2 linked regions of the Xenopus tropicalis genome follow. The protein of the gene in region 2 interacts with the protein of the main gene of each other region in a pairwise test. Links are inferred from orthologs where the notes say so. Each region holds a gene or a part of one and is shown on either strand. Other genes may lie near its edges.

The links. The genes of interacting proteins can lie anywhere in the genome.
Region 1: the proteins of rab3il1 (region 2) and rab11a interact in a two-hybrid assay, tested with the Homo sapiens proteins (2 studies listed by BioGRID and IntAct). The two-hybrid records come from large-scale screens. The link is inferred for Xenopus tropicalis from reciprocal best matches to the Homo sapiens genes RAB3IL1 and RAB11A.

The regions. Positions count from the first base shown.
Region 1 is NC_030679.2:116,825,444-116,829,145, reverse strand, and holds the start of rab11a (ras-related protein Rab-11A), read right to left. Parts: upstream 2,916-3,702; 5' UTR 2,866-2,915; coding exon 2,826-2,865; intron 1-2,825. UniProt on the Homo sapiens protein: The small GTPases Rab are key regulators of intracellular membrane trafficking, from the formation of transport vesicles to their fusion with membranes.
Region 2 is NC_030680.2:22,488,782-22,492,435, reverse strand, and holds part of rab3il1 (guanine nucleotide exchange factor for Rab-3A), read right to left. Parts: intron 2,613-3,654; coding exon 2,500-2,612; intron 1,879-2,499; coding exon 1,855-1,878; intron 178-1,854; coding exon 78-177; intron 1-77. UniProt on the Homo sapiens protein: Guanine nucleotide exchange factor (GEF) which may activate RAB3A, a GTPase that regulates synaptic vesicle exocytosis. Promotes the exchange of GDP to GTP, converting inactive GDP-bound Rab proteins into their active GTP-bound form.

The DNA.
Region 1 (3,702 bases), on a different chromosome or scaffold from region 2:
TGGGAAGGGAGCCGAGTACAGCAGGCAAGGAAATCTGAGAGAATGCCACAAAGCTGTGCCCGAGGGAAGTTACTGGCAGAGCTATATAGCCAGCTGAGGATGCAGGTCAGTGCCCATCTGGCACAAGGAAAGCCTGCATGGTACATACATAACCCAGTATAAAGAGAAGGATTATTATAGGCACATGGGTTTAGGTGCCACTCAGGTCAAACCCAGAGAGGGAGAGAGTAAAAGACTTACACTGCGGTGCAAACTGGGTCACCCCATAAAGCTCAGTGGGTACAAATGGGCTGTGAGTAAAACAGGCCAAGTAACTGAAACCTACCAACCTGCCTGGGATTAAACATGTATGTGCACGAGGCCTGCAAATAAAACAGGTTACATTTTGGGGAGGGGGTAAAGGAGAAGGGAGTTTTCCAGTTCGATAAGTGAATGGAACACCAACACCTACCACACCTACTATTTGTCAAGTCTCCCATGATCTGCACACAAGCCTTGTGCAAGTGTATGTGCTGTTCGCAGTGACAGTGCCCAGAGAACTCGGGCAGCACAGGGCATTGGCACACCGGCATTTAATGCTGGTGGTCGAGATCACAAACTGAGGAGCCCCAAACTGCCCCCATGACACGCGGTTGCCAGGCAACATTTCTCTGAACATACAGAATTCATAGACCCCCAAACCCTCCTGCATAGCCATAGCACTTACACTAACTGCTCCTACAAGCTGAGATCTAAGCAAGACACACACCATAACCAATGGATGTGTAATCCCAGGGCAATTACAGTGCAATTTCATTTCTTTTTTAATTCCCCACGCCTGTTTGGCCCACGGGTGTAAACTGCCTCATATACAGCAACTTACCTAATTCTGCATAAAGCTATTTTTTCTTAAATAATTTGCCCTCTGGGAAATAAAAAGGAATTCCACTCAAACCCTTCTACCCAATGAAGGGCAAAAATACCAGCATGTGGGTGGAATTCCCCTTTAAATCAAATAAGCAAGGATTTGGCAAAAAGCCTGAAGGATTCAGAGACAGAAATAATAAAGGCAAAGCAAAATGCCCAGCTGACAAGTGGGAGTCCTATCCTGATAGAAAGAGGAGGAGGTGGGGGCTGATGAATTAATATCCTGTGCAGACCTGTGCTTTCCTCACTACCCCACCCTGCATTCCAGACTTGCGAGAGGTCAAACAGTGCTTTAGCCACTGACCCTGAACGAAACACAACCTGCAGGGTGAAAGTCTGACTCCATCTTCTCAGCCTCACCAATGTTTAACCCTGGCAGAGCTGAAAGTACAGCTAATGCCATAATGTCTCCCAAACCCAGTGAATAATTATACTAGTAACCTCCATTAGCAACTCTCATCCTGCTTCTGCCAACAGAGTGCAAATCCCAATAGCTTAAATGGAAAATTTGTGCAATCCCGATCCCAGTTCAGTTGTTGCTGAATTATAACTTTCATCACAAACAAATTAAGAGAGATTGGCCAAGCACAGTGTGGTGGAAATGGCTGGATTTGCTGGGAAGATTCTGCACCTAATGCGCTCGTCTGTACACTGGGCAGCTGCAACGTAAGAGAAGTATGTGACTGAGCAAATAAACAGAATGGTAACCCGAGAACTAAGTGGCGAGAAGATGTGATGATATAAAGGGCAAGCAGAGCTGGACACAATGCAACCCAAGTCCAGGTCTCTTCTTCGTCCAAAAATGCTTTGTGCCATACCCTGTAACTTGCCCAGGCAGAGCAGAGGGTTCTGGGGCACTGGAAGAGTGCGGCGGTGCAACACTGAGAAGGAAAGTACCCCAGGCTGCTGCATTTTTTAAAGAGAGGGAAGGGCCCAGAGTCTGAAGTGACTGAACTGAATCACTCAGCATCCTCCCCAGGGATATTTCCTTGCCCTTAAAGGATATACCTTCAGTAAGTTAAACACCTTAAGTGAGTAAAACAGAGGAACTACACACCCAATTCCTACCACCACCCAAGAATGACATGGGTGCAACTACAGAGGAAAGCAACGTCTGGGACTGCAGGGGGGTGGGGGGAGTTAGGCACAGACTGATAATCTGTTACAGTGTATCCCCATATTCCCAGAGTTTAGCTGAACCCTAAAATGCTTTTGCTTCATTACCCCACTACATCATCAATCCCTTTTAATAAAAATACAACACCAAAAGCCATGAATTCCGCCTTAAATACACCCTCATAGCCAAGGCTTTATGAGGTCATGAGTTAGAACTGGCACATAGTGATGTCACATGTGTCACATGACCCAAGGAAGTGTGAGTTTCACTGAACACCATCCAATGGATGGAAGGCAGCTGTCAGGCAGACTTTCGTATTTTATTAACACTGGAGAAAAACAATGTTGTCTCTGTGCCCCTGTAGCAAATGTAGCACAGATACTTCCTTCTATTTCTATTTCCCAACGACTTCCCCTAGAAAAGAAAAGGGTTTCCTGTCCTTGTAGCCACAAACACCCTACTGACCCTCCTTTCCTCCCATGCTTCACTGACTCACGACCCCAAAACACTTCCCCACACTTTGGAGCCTGATCACCTGATCTATTCACACAGTAACAACCTGGATCGATGTACTCTGGGCTTCCCAGCCCTGTATCTACTATTCCATTTACGGAATCCAGCAGCCCCAGTGTCACCGCCCTGACAGGCTCCAGCTGGAGCGGGAATAGCTTGGCTACAGCCTAAAGTTCAACCACAGCCGGTGATTCTCGCCATAAACGTCAGCCTACATCCTTGTTACCGAGAGGTTTAACCTCCAGAGTGTGCAGCAGAGGCTGCCAGTCGCCCCCCAAGCCCCGGTTACCTTTAAACAGATAATCGTATTCGTCGTCCCTGGTACCCATCCTCGCGGTACTTCTGACGTTCGCGATGTGCGGCTAACAGCAGCAACCGTCAGATCTCCAGGAAGCCCGGCAGTGTCCGAACCCCTCCCAGAAACAGGAGCAGCACTTCCGCCCACTCCTGCACGGAAACGGCCCAACCGTCACTTCCGGGTTACCTGGCAACTGAGCGCAATGGTGCGAGTCTGACAAACAAGATGTTTCTTTTCATGTCTAACGGGAGGTGCTTAATGTATGAGTAAAGGGGCTGCTAGCAACGTTGCTGCACGTTTCCCATGTTTTATCAACTGAAATGCCTTTGTGCGCACCTACTTGCACTGTCGGCGAGGGGTTGGGAGTAGTAAGATGGCGGCCTTGATTGAAGCTGGGTGGGCTGGGCAGCCGCAGTGAGAAGTGGAACAAAAACAGAGATTGTGTTTAAACGAGGAGACTTGGACCTGAGATTATTTGAAAAGTAACCGACAATGCAAATATGAATATATCTATAATTATAAGGATATATGAAGGAAAAACTCTATGGAAAAATTCTAAAGGTGTATGTTGTGAAGTGTTCATAGACGGTTCCATGGTGTAATGGTTAGCACTCTGGACTCTGAATCCAGCGATCCGAGTTCAAATCTCGGTGGAACCTAAATTTTGATTTATATCACATTTATTGCTTGAAAAAATGTAATTGATTAGCAATTACTTTTTATTAATGAAATATCAACAATGATTATATACATTAATGCTGTTCTGTATAACATTTTACATTATAACATTCTGGATAGAAGTGTCTGCTTTATTTTTTGGAACTGCTTTTAACACAGATGGAGATAATTTACAGTCTAGATTAAATGG
Region 2 (3,654 bases):
GTATTTCAGTGCTAGATAAACAGAGAATGGACAATGTTGCCCTCTCTTAAAAAGATAGTAAACTAAGGGTGTCTCACCCTGTACCGGCAGGATGGCGAGATGAAGTAATAATTTCCAGAATCCCCTAGATTGATGCGATGGCGGCAGGAGCGAGACAGGCCGCTGAGTGCACATTTCCTGCAGTGAAAGTCAACAAATAGTGAGAAAGGGAACAAGAAACACAAGAAATAAAAACAAGCAAAAAATTCTTTGGAGGGTCGTGGTGCACAATGTAAGCATTTCCATACATTTCCACCTGCCCCTCATGTCCCCCATCCCTGCCCACTAGGTCTCAGGAATTAGGGGTTCCTATAGAGGAAGCAAACCTCACGGTCTAAGCCCCCTGTCCCCCAAGGCGCCACCGCCCCCCTCCCCCCCCCCCCAGTTCATCCTCTATAGTTACGCCACTGAACAGCACAGTGTGCAAAGTGAAAAAAATCAGGCATTTTCTAACACTTTGCACATTGTATTAATCATTTCTTATATATTCGCAGGTCTGCGCTCTTTTTCAGATGCGTGCCCCTTGAATATATCTAAGAGGGGTGGGCGGGGAGAGGTACAAAGGGGCTCTATAAATAAACACTAATATTTATTAATAAGATGCATTCAGTGATGATAACCATAGCTTTTAATGGAGCAAACCAGGGTCGTTCAGAGGAAAAGGAAATCATTACCAAATTTAGAACTGGAGTCCCACTGGATTCTATGGGGGTTTTCTAGATATCAGGATTGTGGATAAGAGATCCCACACCTATACAGTTGTTGTTGTTGTTTGCATCAGGGAGAGGATTGTTAGTCTGAAGGAGCTTAATAACCAAACAAATAAAGAGCATTCAAGAAATAGATTTAATAAACATGTCCCGCACTTTGGTGGGTGTTTTTTAAATCACAGCCTCCCATTAATGTTGCTGAACTGACTCACACTGCTGTGTTATGGTCTGTGGGTCAATAGTGACTCAGTAGAAAGCATTATTCAATTGTTTATCTTCCCATTAAAGTATTCTGTCCCTCCATTCTGTTTGTATTTCGACCATCGCTTCTTATAAATAATTATTCTTCTGTGTATATACTGGAATATACTGTATTTACTGGTATAAATATGCCGGGCAGTTTTGTTTTTTTTTTCCTGTACCGCGTGTGACCCAGAGCATTAGTCCAAGTCATTTACAAAATTAGAATTCAGTTGGCTGGTTTGACCCCAGGTATCTCCCAGCAATTGCAGTTCAAGCACAACATTGTACATTTATGCAAGGCAGTGATGGTCGGTTATTCTGGGACCCTGACCAATACTTAGTGCAGTATATGGTGCAGTTTATCACAAAAGGCCCCAAATATTATAGCAGTATAACGGTACTGGGCCCAAAAATAGACAAACAGATAGATAGAATCCACAAGTATACCATGACAATCAGTGGACCTATTATTAGGGTTTTGACCCAGACAGCCCTTCCAAAAACCAGGCTGCCCAGTTTTCCACATAAGGAAAACCAGGCAGGCCTCGCTAAGATTGATGTGGCAATTGCCCACTGTGATGTCATTGCCTGCCCTCCCCGTGACATCACTGCCCGCCCCCTGCCCAGAGAAAAAGCCAGCAGAGGTTGCAACCCTACCTAAGATATGCTTTCTAGGGACAAATAAATGTATATACAGTATTCTGCATGTTTTTGCTGACACTTTGCAAACAAATAAAGCTTTTTTTTCATTAAAATTAGTCTTGCAGTTACTGGGTTAAAGACAGCCCTAAGAAGCCATTCTCTTATTAGTCCAAGTCATTAGTGAGTTAATTAAAGCAGAATTATGCTTCATCTCACTTACGTTACAACCTCTACCCGACACCCGCTGGAAAGAAGAAAGAGAGAGAAAAACATGGAGGAGGTCACGCTATGCATTGTATATGGGAGTGGTAACTCTTTGGCTAAATGACATGGATAACACTGTTAAAGCAGCAGTGGATTGCATTAGGTGGAATTGGAGAATAGGCCCAACAGATGCAAAGAAGACAAACTGATTATGCACCGGCTGAACATAAACACTGCTGCACAGAATGAGCAGCACTCAAAACTTATATAACATATTCACATTAACGGGGTTCATTCAAACAGTTATGTTGCGGCCCATGCAAACTAAGGGCAGTGGCACATAGGGAGTGTTTTGCTGCCGCAGCCATGGGTGAGTAACTAGTTCCATGGGTAGGGGACAAAATACTTTAAATGCCTCTCCATTCACATGTATGGCAATTGCCTGCAACTGCAAGTGTACTCGCTTGTCAGTAATGCTGACTGCAATGTTTCCAACAATATTTCCAACAATGACCTGGCTAGCAAGGGCACCAGTGCTTTCATGTGAGAATGGCGGCCAACTGAAAGCATTTTGTCCCATGAATCAGTGTGGGTAGAAAACACGTTGCCCTGCATATCATTTGCTATTTTGTGCCCTAATACATTTAATAAGCACAAATACCTGGGTCCCCCACGTTCCACTGCAGAAGCTTTGACAACAGGCAATATGGGTTGCACCACTGGTTCCACAGACAGCATGTTACCCTCCACGGCAGTCAGAACCTGATCTGAGAGCTGCAGGAATAGAAGAACCATGATTCCATTCATAAGCACAGGAAAGAGGCTGATGTGCAAGTATAGCCATTTATCCATCACTCTTTCTCTTAACATCTGAAATCAGCACAGACATATGCAATAATAATGTAGGTAGGTGGCTCCGAGGTTATGAAAGAGGGGGCCCCTGGCAATGCAAAAGTGAGGAAGAAGTGTACATAATATACACATTAGCAGAAAGTCAAGTGACATCTGTCATAGATACTGGTGCTGCAGGACTAAATATTAGTCACGCCTGCAGCTGCATTAAATGCAAAATAATCCTCCAATGAGAATCCCAGGTGATCCATGTAAATCTGTCCCCTTCTATAGAAAACAAGTGGGCGCAGCTTTATAGTTGGCTTTTGTGTACCATTAAGTAATTATCCCACTGGACCATGAAATTCAGCTTTTTTGAGAGATAATTGATGGCAACTGAGGTTACAGAATAGGGAATTTGCTACCTTCCAAATACTACTTGTGCCATTACCCTAAAGGGGTCGCTTGCAGCATGACTTGCCCTGCTTCTTTGTAGAAGAACCAACATCACAGTACTTCTGTGTCCCATGATTACAAGAATTTTCATTCAAAGTGTCATTCACCAACTCAAACCTTTTTTAGCCAAGCTTGCAGCAAATAATTATTTGCCTTTATTTATAAAATAACGTAATGGACCCTATTACTTAAGACTAATGTAAGACCAGGCATTTGGGGTATATTTTCGGCAAGCTCAAAAACGTTTGCCGAAAATACAGTCATACGCCTCCTACCTGTGCCTGCACCCGAATTAATGGAATACGCTCGGGTGCAGGCACATGACTTTGCTCGGCTATACGTGAAAATATATGCCATACGCCTGGTCTGACATTAGTCTAACACAAAATGATACATTTAATCAGGTGCCAGTTAAGATGCCTGTATGATATGTGGTGTAGGAATCCACACAGACAGGGGATGAACATACAGGGTCTGTGCAGATAGTGGCCTTACTGGAATAGGGTGATGCTTAACATTTAGCTACTAT